Linked DNA regions of Saccharomyces cerevisiae S288C. The gene in region 3 interacts genetically with the main gene of each other region. Each region holds a gene or a part of one and is shown on either strand. Other genes may lie near its edges.

What was found.
Region 1: mutations in CTK1 (region 3) and BRE1 are lethal when combined (synthetic lethality), as found in Saccharomyces cerevisiae (5 studies listed by BioGRID, with this or other methods).
Region 2: mutations in CTK1 (region 3) and RTF1 are lethal when combined (synthetic lethality), as found in Saccharomyces cerevisiae (4 studies listed by BioGRID, with this or other methods).

Annotation. Positions count from the first base shown.
Region 1 is NC_001136.10:324,474-328,311, reverse strand, and holds the start of BRE1 (E3 ubiquitin-protein ligase BRE1), read left to right. Parts: upstream 1-2,162; coding exon 2,163-3,838. Other genes in the region: AHK1 (Ahk1p), read right to left, coding at 1-1,699. UniProt on the Saccharomyces cerevisiae protein: E3 ubiquitin-protein ligase that mediates monoubiquitination of histone H2B to form H2BK123ub1 in association with the E2 enzyme RAD6/UBC2.
Region 2 is NC_001139.9:39,498-43,335, reverse strand, and holds RTF1 (RNA polymerase-associated protein), read right to left. Parts: upstream 1,839-3,838; coding exon 162-1,838; downstream 1-161. Other genes in the region: TAD1 (tRNA-specific adenosine deaminase), read right to left, coding at 1-29; glutamate--tRNA ligase GUS1, read right to left, coding at 2,187-3,838.
Region 3 is NC_001143.9:181,449-185,044, reverse strand, and holds CTK1 (cyclin-dependent serine/threonine protein kinase CTK1), read right to left. Parts: upstream 2,088-3,596; coding exon 501-2,087; downstream 1-500. Other genes in the region: HSK3 (Hsk3p), read left to right, coding at 33-242; TGL1 (sterol esterase), read right to left, coding at 2,620-3,596. UniProt on the Saccharomyces cerevisiae protein: Catalytic subunit of the CTDK-I complex, which hyperphosphorylates the C-terminal heptapeptide repeat domain (CTD) of the largest RNA polymerase II subunit.

The DNA.
Region 1 (3,838 bases), on a different chromosome or scaffold from region 3:
GTAGCTCTTCATATAGTTGTTTAATTCTATCATGTGGCAAGAATCGTAATGAAGAAGAATTTTGAACACTTGGAATGATTTTAAAAACTAATACCTTCATAAATAAAATTCTAATCAAAGGAAATTCGTTTTCAAAAATCAATGACTCCCAAAAATCACTTAACAGCACTTTTACTATTTCATCGCGGTCCTCAATGGTTACGTGCTTCCAAATATTGAAAAGGCATAATAAAGAAACAGTCTGGCAGTTAACATTTTTGGTCCTTAACATACTCAAAAGCCCATTGTACCACGACCTCCATTGAATGAATTTCAGAGAAGGTAAACTTTCAAACTGGAAAATAATAAACTGGAGAACCTTATTGTAAATGACGTTCGCTGCAATATAATCGTACGCTGAAATAGTGGAGACATAGTCTATCAATAGAGACTCATGTAAGGAAAGCATATTTTCCAGGTATTCCGGATGATTTTCTTTAAGAATGCATCCTGAAAGGCTTCTAAGACATTCCCATAATTTGATTGTCTTAAAATTAGAAAATACGTAATCATTAATCCTTTCAGATGTAATTAAAGCATTGCTACTATTCAAACTCTTGAAATTTGGATGTGACTCTGTCACATTCTCATTTGCTATCCTTGGATTCGGCGTTTGTTTAATAATCCGCGTGAATTTATTCAAATCTGAATTCAAGAATCTAGTGGTTACATGCGTCAATAAAATTTCTGAGCCAGGTATGCATGACAATGTCGATTTTTTAATTCCTACATCTGAATCAGAGAATTTCATAAATTGAAGTATGATATACCAATAGTGCCAATAAAATGACATAAGTACAAAATCATTTTTAATATAAGAAACAATGATCTTAAAAAATTTAGTATCTTTATTTTCAAAAGCTTCAGTGCGGATCATTTGTCCCTGATCGTCGGTGAATTTATATTGTCTCTTCTTCCATGAAAACAAAGATGTTTGAATACTTGAAGAGATTTGAGGAGAAACTGTCAATAACAAAATTGTATCGAAATGAAAGTCTTCTGGTAGATAAAAAAATGCGTAAGCATTTAACTTCCCGATGAATGCTCGCAGCAAGGAAGAATATTTGTTAAGGTATTGCAGCTTCTTGTCGTTTATAGAGCACTTGTCATCACTATTTGTACGTTTAAGTTTTTTGGAGTTTTTAGAAATCAAAATCAACTTGTTTGTTATGCAATGAATGGTCAGCAAAAGATGATGTGAGTATATTTCCATGTCTCTGGATGAATGGAAAGGCAATATTATTAGTATGGTCATAATTTTGCTGAGGCACTCGAGACACACGGAAGTTAGTTCTATGCTCAAGCTCAATTCAAGGGCAGTATCTATTTGAAGCGAGGTGTCAGAATTTAGAAAGTTTAAAAGTGTGACCCACCATTGGGTCAAAACATCTCTAACCTCCAGTGTACAGTTGCTTCGTGAAGAATCACACCATTGTCTTAGAACCGTTAGTAGTTTCAAGCGTAAAAAATTTGAGGAGGATTTGCAAAATTTTGTATTTTGTTCTTTATTACTAGCTGACTGATTAGCATTGTTTATGAAATTGATAAACCTGTTCAACGATTGAAATAATTGAGTTTCATAATTGTCCATCAAGAAGCCATCTTGAGACGTAGTCTTTAATCCACATTCATATAGTTGATTATGTATGGCAGGACCCATGCTTAATGAGCAATATGATCTTTAGTGCTACAACAATGCGTATATAGCATACGAAGCACAATCGAGTTCAGAATTGTTTCTCTACCCACGAAAGATAATATTGGGAAAATCACTGGTGAAATTCTGAGATCGTTAATTTCAGTGGATTCAAAAAGAAAGAGCAGATCGACAATAGGCACTAAGGATGTCTTCTAACTTTGAAATGAAGCACCAACTGATCGTACTTTGATCAAACCATCGTTATTATATAAAAGTGACAAAAGCATTTGATCACGTGATTATAATCACATCCAACGAAACTTTCTTAAAGAAGGCGAAAAAACAAAAAAGAAGAAGATTAAAAAAAGTTGGATGGATGTTGTTTGAACGGTAAACTAACAGAGAGCGCCCCAAGGTTTTTAACAGAGATAGAAAGGGCTTTCACCGTTTTTATGCTAATCGTGCTAGCTGATAATAATCAGATATGACGGCCGAGCCTGCTACTAAGAAGATCAAGCTAGAATTAAGCGATCCTAGTGAACCGCTTACTCAATCTGATGTGATAGCGTTTCAAAAAGAAGCTTTGTTTAGATGTATAAATCGTCGAAGAGTCGACTTTGAAGCCTTGCGAAAGCAATATGAACTTTCAAGAAGGGAGTGCATAGATGTTTCCCGCAAGTTGGCAAATATTATGGCGCTGATAGTAACTTTAGCTAGGTTTATCGAAACATTCTGCACAGACGCCAACGAGAAGCAACTATGTAGGGAAATAGCCCAAGGCGATGAGACGTTGATAGTTCAGCGCAGTGATTCTTTCATGAAGCTACTGACTAAATATGGGAAGCCAAACACGACAGATAGTAATACTAATAGTAATGCTTCGGATCATATTCAAGAATTAACAACGGAGTTAAAAAACTTGCGGAAAAGTAAAGAGGAGCTCTTTTATGAAAATTCGCAATTGACAGAGGAGATTTCTGCTTTGAAGGAATATTATACAAATATAATTCGCAAGTATGATAGAGATGAATCCTTTACTATAAAACGTGTTTTTAAGGAAGATAAGACTGATGCTGTAAAGGAATTACGGGAAGATGAAAAAGAATCTAATGAAAACAATATAAAATCTGGAAATAAAGACTCCTCTGCAATTAATGGTGATAATACATCCAAAAAATCCGAGAAAGGTGATGAACTTGTGCAGGCGGAGGATGAACGAAAAGAAGATGCTGAGAATGAAAAATTAGAATTGGATCTGAAATTTTCTGATTTACGGGCAGAGATAAACTCCTTGAGTTCCACTATAAAAGACCTTGAAAATATCAGAAGGGAAAACGAGGAAGAGCTCATCAAAACACGTTCTGAGGTATCCAATTTAAAAAAGCAACAGATAGCAGCAGCAGACCAAGACCCAGATTTCAAGTCATATGACCATGAGTCCCTGTTAGCAAAAATTCAACATTTGACTGAACAAAACGCAGAATTATCTGAGATCAATAGTTCCTTTTTATCAAAATTTCAAGTTTTAGCCAAAGAGAAAGAAATATATACGAAGAAGGTCCGAGAAGAATTCCAGAAAAGTCTCGACTCCCTAGTAGAAATGAACAGTTCATTGGAAAAGGACGTTGTAAGAATAAGAACGGCTCGTGATGATTTACTAAGCAAAATCGCCATTTTGGAAGCTGAAAAATCCAAGACTGAAGTGTTGAGCGATTTACAACATGCAATTGATATTTTGAAGGAGCAATGGACAAAAATTGATCAAAGATCAAACGATACAAAATCCTCGTCGACTCAAGATGCATTAATAAAGGAAATTCAAGACTTAGAGAAGGGTTTTAGAGAGTTATCCGACTTAACTCATAAAAAGTACTCTGAGATTATTAATCACGAATCTGTTATATCCAAGCTTACCGTAGAAAAAACTAAGGCTGATCAGAAATATTTTGCCGCGATGAGGTCCAAAGATTCAATTTTAATTGAAATCAAAACTCTTTCTAAAAGCCTCAGTAAATCAAATGAGCTTATTCTACAGTTAAAGGACTCTGATAGATTGCTACAGCAAAAAATAGGAAATTTACATAAACAACTGGATCTTTCTCAAAATAATGAACGCAGGTTAATTGATTCCAGTAAAACAGAGACACTAAAAATAATTGA
Region 2 (3,838 bases), on a different chromosome or scaffold from region 3:
CATGGCCTTGTTCCTTGGCACGAAACCATTCACATCACTATTATTTTCTGTTCATTTTTTTTTTTTTTTGCATCACAACGATGATAGTATTATTTTTATTTAGTATATTTAAATATATAAATATAAATATATTTTTACAAACACTGAAATTGTCCTGCCTACTAAAACTTAAGGTCAAATTTGATATCCAATTCACCAACCATGCGCTCCAACCCACCAAGGCGCCTGAATTGTGCCACAAGTAGCTCTTTCTCACGCTTATCTTTAGCATCTTTATCTTCTTGTAGCTTCTCTTGTTGTGCAATTTCTTTAGCTTTTGCGTTTTCTTCCTTTTGTATCTCCTGATAGTAAACTTTGGTCCTGGTTTTTAGCCTGCTGAAAGGATCGCTCTTTGAATCAAAGTTATTACTGTCTTCTTTTTTCACATGCTCTGCATTTCTGATGTTACTCATATTCAATTTTCTATTCTTAGAGGTCAACTCGCCTAGTTTTTTAATGTCAGATTGGTCATTTTCATGATGCTTCTCGTATACAGACATTCGTTTCTCAAAGTTTCTTAACTGAGCAGAGTATTTTGCAATGTCCTTTTCATTATTAGTCTCCTTGGCATATTGCAATTTTTCTCTCAATACAGTTTTCTCCAAGACTGCATTCGTACCAGATAGTTTTTTATTGAATTGCATCCTATGGCGAACAACCTCATCTGTAGTTTTATCAGTCAATGGTGTATTGACAAAATCCATAACCTCTTTCGTTTTGTTACTCAAAGAATGTAAAGAAGGTTTAATCATTTGCGAATTATCCAATGCCCTGAGATACCTTTGGTATTCGTCTTCGGCAAACAAACCATCACTAAAATAATTCATTTGAAAAACCTTTCTGTCTTTACCTTGGGTAACACCGAAATACTGGTTAGTATAGAACTTACCCATATTGTAAGGTTTTTGCAAGAAAACTCTCTCAATTCTCACCATACGGTAAGAAGTTTTGCCGGTACGTTTATCTGTGCCAACATTGACTCTCCCATAACAACCTTTGACTGCATCTTCAAACCCGGGATAAAAACAAAATTTTGCGACAAATGAACGACCGATCCTTAGTTTGTTGAAATCAGAAATCTCAGGCTCTCTGTCTTGCTCGTCCTCCTCTTCAGCCCACTCCACTTCTTCTCTTTTGTCGTATGTATCCCTTCTATCAAAAGGATTGTATTCTTCATCATCCCCGTATTCACTCCCTTCATCGTCCTTGTAGTCTTCTTCCCTGTAATCTTCCTCATCGTCTTCGTCTTCATTATCGCTGTAGTGACGGTTTTTCCTCGCTCTTTGTTTCTTTAATTGCGAAAGTTTTGAAGCCTTGATATCAGAATGCCCAGTAGCATGGGTTGATCTAGTGGAAGCTCTGGTCTTTCTGGAATCTTCGTCGTTCTTGGCTCTCTGTTGTTGTTCCTTCATATCTCTTCCACGTGCTCTAAAAAGTTTCCTCTCCTGGTACTTCTGCATGATTTGAGATCTTTCAAATAATAGAGTCTCACGTTCCATTTCAGGTAAGGATTCCAGGTGCTCTCTGTCGCTCTCATCCTTGTACTTTCCTTCCAAGGGAAAAGGATTAGCTTCTTCTTCTTCTTCGGAACCGTAGTCTGCATTTCCTACAGAGTAAGGGTTATAATCGTCCTCCTCATCATCATCCTCTACACTGCCGACTTCAATTCTCCTTTTCTTGGAAAGAGATTGGTCGTTGTTTTTTGCCCTTTTGGCAGATGTAGTTGTCAAAACTTGATCTTCTTCTTCGGATTCATCGGCACCAGCCAAGGCTAATAAATCCTCATCTAAATCAGACATTTCTATAGTGCTCTCAACAAATTAGTGCAATACAATTACAAACTTTGGTATCCTTCAAGTACCTTTTGTAACTTTGAATATTTTCCTTCCAGCTCGTAGTCACTATTTGAACCAATTTCAATAAAATATAAATTGTCAAAATTACAAAACCGGGTAATGGATGATAAACTTTTACAGTCAAAGTTCTATAGGTAGACATACATGTCATAAGCTGCTATCCTTACATGATTCAAGGCAGCGAACACAGGACTGGTTCAGAAAGCAAACCATTCACTTATAAAAGATATTGTTCAAAAGGTACTGGTTGAGAAATAACATAAATATGTATATACATTACTTATGTGATGCTTATTTCTTTGCACCATACTTGTTGACAGATTTACCATCTGGGATGGTAAAAAAGACATATGGCTTACCATCCTTGGGTAAAGCATCCAATCTGTAGTAGCCCTTTCTTTCGAATTGGATGATATCACCAATCTTCATATCCTTAACATTCAAGTCAGCAATGGCATCCGTGTGGAATTCTGTTTGAGGAGTCAAGAAATCTTCGAAACTTTCGTCTTCTTCCAATCTGTCCTTGGTAATCAAATGGTCGAAGTCAACTAAATCAACAGGGACGACATCTTTAGTATCAGCTAACCAAGTCAACTTGTGCTTGGTCTTTTTGAAATCACCTTCCAAATTCAATTTGGCAACCATAGAACCATCGTCATTCTTTTTAGTAATAATGACATTACCCCAGTCCATTAAAGTGACTTCTTCATCAACATTGATGACGTCAGCATCATCTTTGTCGACAACAATGTCTTTGTAGTAAATGACTTTCTTTTCGCCCACAGCTGGGTTTTTCTTGTGTTTTGGTTTCATTTCAATCTTTGGTTCTTGTGGAGCTTCGGAGCCTTCCAAGTGGATTTTAACTGGGTTGACGATAGCAGTGTGTCTTGGAGCAATTGGATCAATGACCTTCTTGTTGAAAGCCCAGATCAAGTTCCATTCCAAGTTAATGACATTTCTGGATGGACCTTGGGATAAGACGAAGTTCCTCAAACCTTCGACAGTCATACCTCTTCTTCTCACACCCCTGACAGTTGGGAACCTTGGATCGTCCCAATTTCCGACCAAGTCCTTGTCAACCATCCATTGTAACTTTCTCTTAGACAACAAGGTTCTAACGAAATTGATACGAGCGAAATCCCAAATATGGACTTTTCTCAAACGCAAAGCTTGTAACATCCAATCATATTGAGCGTTACGGTCTCTATATTCAATGGTACGTAAAGCGTGGGTAACACCTTCAATAGCATCAACAATTGGGACACAGAAATCATAAGTTGGGTAGATCTTCCAAGTTGATCCGGTTCTGTGGTGAGGGGTTAGATTACATCTGTAAATGACAGGATCTCTTAGAGTCTTGTTCAAAGCCTTGTAATCGATCTTGGCACGAACACAGTTCTTCAAACCTTCTTCAGTACCGTTTTTCATTTCTTCGGTAAAAATTCTTAAGTTCTCTTCAACAGAACGATCTCTTCTGGCAGAAGCAACACCATCCATACGTTCTTCTCTCATCTTTTCAGTTGGAGTGTCGTCACAGTAAGCTTTACCATCCTTGATCATTTGAACACAGTAGTCGTACATTTCTTGGAAGTAGTCAGATGAGTAGGTTATTCTATCACCCTTGATTCCTAATAAATCCAAATCTTCCAAAATAGAGTCTTGGAATTCTTCCTTTTCCTTCGATGGGTTGGTGTCATCGAATCTAATAATCAACTTACCCTTGTAAGCTTGAGCAAAATATTGGTTCAACAAGGCAGCTTTGGCATGTCCAATATGTAAGTATCCAGAAGGTTCAGGTGGGAAACGAGTGACGACTTCACCCATTTTGGCATCTGGCAAATCAATTTCAAAGTTAGCCTTGTGAGTTTCCTTCTTCTTACCCACATTAGCACTTTTCTTTAATTCTAGTAAAGATTTGCTCAAGAAATCGTGAGCTTCGCCGA
Region 3 (3,596 bases):
CGAAGAGGACACAAAGAATTTCAGGCAAGAGAATGAACGCTAACAAACAAAGGCAGTATAATCAGCTTGCACACGAACTTAGAGAGCTTCAAACGAATTTACAGGAAACGACAAAACAACTAGATATCATGTCGAAACAATGTAACGAAAACTTGGTAGGCCAATTGGGTAAGGTACATGGAAGTTGGTTGATAGGTAGTTACATTTATTATATGGAGCAGATGCTTGGAAAAACGCAATAAGGCATAAGAGGTAAGACAGTTAGTGGCCAGGCTAATTTATAAGATGTGAAATGAGATGGTGTTGGTACGATGGACAAACAGCTTGCATAAAAAGACAACCAAGTTACGTATAGTGAACGAGTGAAAATAGGCAAACCTTCTATTCACTAGGCCGCTTCACATGAAATTAGATGTTCGTATCATATTTACGGGTATCGCGTAATAAATAAGTTATTAATCTATTTTTTGTGTCTACTTATTTCAATTGGCTATATATCCTTATTTATCATCATCGTCATTATTATTATTATTATTATTATTACTATTACCATTACCCTTATTGTTTGTGTTGGTGGATAGTATGTTAGGACGCTTTTGTTTTCTTGCCAATTTGACTTCATATTCGTGGCAACTTACCAATCCATCAAGAACTAAAGGTTCAGGCTTTGGTTCTTCCTTGAAATAGTCGCTTTGTAAAGCTTCGGTTGCACTAAACCTTTTCGTCTGATCATAACATAACAAATTAATCGCCAATTGCAGACATTTTGAAGATGGTAAAACGCTTTTAAATTTCTCAGAAAAATTGTTGACATACTTGGTAGTTTGCTGTGGCATAATCATAAAAAACCACGGCATATCGTAAAGCGTTGGCCAGCTATTTATTGTAGGAGTTCCCATAATCTTGAAAATTGATTCTATTTGCTCTAATTCATTAGAGCCCTGGAAAATTGCAGTTTTATTGAATAATTCCACCAGGAGGCAGCCACAACCCCACATGTCAACTTCTGTTCCATAATTTGTAGTTCCCAACAATAGTTCTGGTGGTCTGTACCACAACGTAATGACACGGTTAGTGTAATCAGCTCGCGAATTCATTTTCCTCGCTAGTCCAAAATCTGTTATTTTTAGATTCCCCTGGTTATCGATTAAGATGTTTGAGCCTTTAACATCACGGTGTAAAATCTTATTATCATGTAAATATTCCATTCCTAATAGCAATTGTTTGAAGAGATGTTTGCATTGTGAGTGAGAAATTTGGACTTCCTTATTTAATAGTAATCCACTTAAGTCGTTGTCAGCATATTCAAATATCATATATACAGTTTTTTGAGATTCGACCATTATTTCTTTTATAGTAGAGACATTTGGATGATCAAAACTTTGTAGTAGTTTAATCTCTCGTATAGAGGTTATGGGAAAGCCTTCCCTCTCTCCTTGTAATCTCAATTTTTTCAGCGCTACTAACTTCTCTGTATTCGTGTTTTTTGCCTTGTAAACTTTACCATATGTTCCTTCTCCGACTTGCATTATCCTTAGGTAAACTGACGTGCTCCTTTGCTGCGTTAGAACCGAAACTGGAACTTTCTTAGCTATGACAGACCGCCCTTCCTGGCCTTTGTGGTTATAGTATTTTGAAGCATGATAGCCATTTTTTATATCATTACTAGTATTGGATGAATTATTATATCTTGATTTCTCAACAGATTTGGGCCCCTTTGGCAAATGAGACAGGAATTCAGCCTTTGTTTCATCCCTTTTTATGCTTTTAGGCCTATTTTCATACGACGTATTATTATTGTTGTATCTTGAACCTTGATATCTGGAACTTGTTTGAAAGGATGTATCGTTATAGCGAGATAAATTATTGTTACCACGACTTTTCGTGTGGCCTGGTTGGTCATTTGAATTTACCCTATGAGAAGATATATTGTCCATATTCGACTGGTAACCACTATCAGTCCGTATTCTCTTTGGTGGCGGTGGTCTCGCTAGGGACTGAGGATTTGGCGACCTCTTTCCGAACAAGGGTCTCTTATTATTTCTGCTATAACTCTTTGAATAAGTATTGCCATTATTGTAGGACATTGTTACCAAATAATTTATGCTGTATGGTCCCTGTGTTATTCTAGTGCAAAGAATAGTGCTAGAATTAGTTTTATTTACAAATAGGTTTTTTAAAAGTACTAATGGAACAAAAAAAGTCCAAAAAAAGCTAATATGCACAGTGAATAAATACACTGATAAGACCTTCTCTTTTTTTCTAAATGTATTTTACTGTCTGAACCGTCCATTTTTTAACATCTCATTGGCAATCAATATGTAAAGTTACCTTATTATGTAGAGGTTTTTCTCTTCCATCAGTGAAAAAAAAAAACGAAAAAAATAGAGCTTCACGTGACCTTTTTAAGCCAAATAAGAATAATGCTAAAAGGAAGTTAATTACTTTACTAATTTCCAGTATCCACAAGCATGAGGATATTAAGGACTTCTTATGAAATCCATTTATTGTGTATAAAACGTACGTATATTCTTTCTTTAGTTCATCGATTTTTAGATTAGCGCTAATATTATTATCCTAGACAAAAAATAGTTTAATAGGGTTTCTCTCGCATTCTTTTCATTCTTTATTTAGAGCATCCAGCGCAGTTGTCGAAGAGTTGGCATCTAGTTGTCGTAAATCTTTGGATGATTCCAGATAGGCACTTAACCGTCTTTGCTGCTCCTTATGGATTTGATCTTCTGTATCATCCTGGTGCTCATTTTCGTTGTCCTCGTCTATGGCACTAGTAGAAAACACTCGTCTTAAGAACCTTGAATTGTCAGCATTGTGGACCTCATCCGCTTCATCAGCTTGTACAGACAACGGAGAACGGTCTGCCGAGTGAGTTCTATAACTGAGACCATGCGTTGGATGAGTTGTCTTCCATGTCGTGCTTGGTAATTCCTCAACCAGACTTGCTGATGGTAGTAACTGGTTAGTCTTCACTGAAACATTACCAGGGTTAAAAAATTCAATAAACCTCAAGACTTTAGCAATGACCAAGGTATCGGCATCTTTGCCCCAAATCAAATCCAGGTGTTCATAATTGTCAACTTTAACATCAAAGACGGAGTTGAAGGGTAGATTTTTTTTCATCACATCAATATCAACTAAAGAATCTATGCCACCATAAATTAAAAGAATGGGAATCTTGATATTTGTTCTAGTAGGAAAATTAGCAATTTGGTAAGGCCTAGTTAAGGAATTTAGCATGTTATCAGACTCTTCAAACATTTGAAATTTCTGAGATCTTAATATTTGGAACCAGTGAACAATGGATTTTACACTGGTCGTTGAATAAAGTTTTGCGTAAGAAGCAATCTTTTGTCTCGGTAGAATGTTAAACGACTTCCAATTGAACAGTATCTTGTTTGCGATATCGATACACAAATTGAAAAGTGTTGGATGTAAAGTTCTTTGCCAAATGACAGCTGAAGGTAACACAATTTTCCTACCAAAGAAAAGATACATAAAGCCGGGCGATGATTTGGCCAAGGTATCGACAATTCTGTTGTGCAACCCCTTTGGAGTCATAGCGGGTGCTATGGCTATAA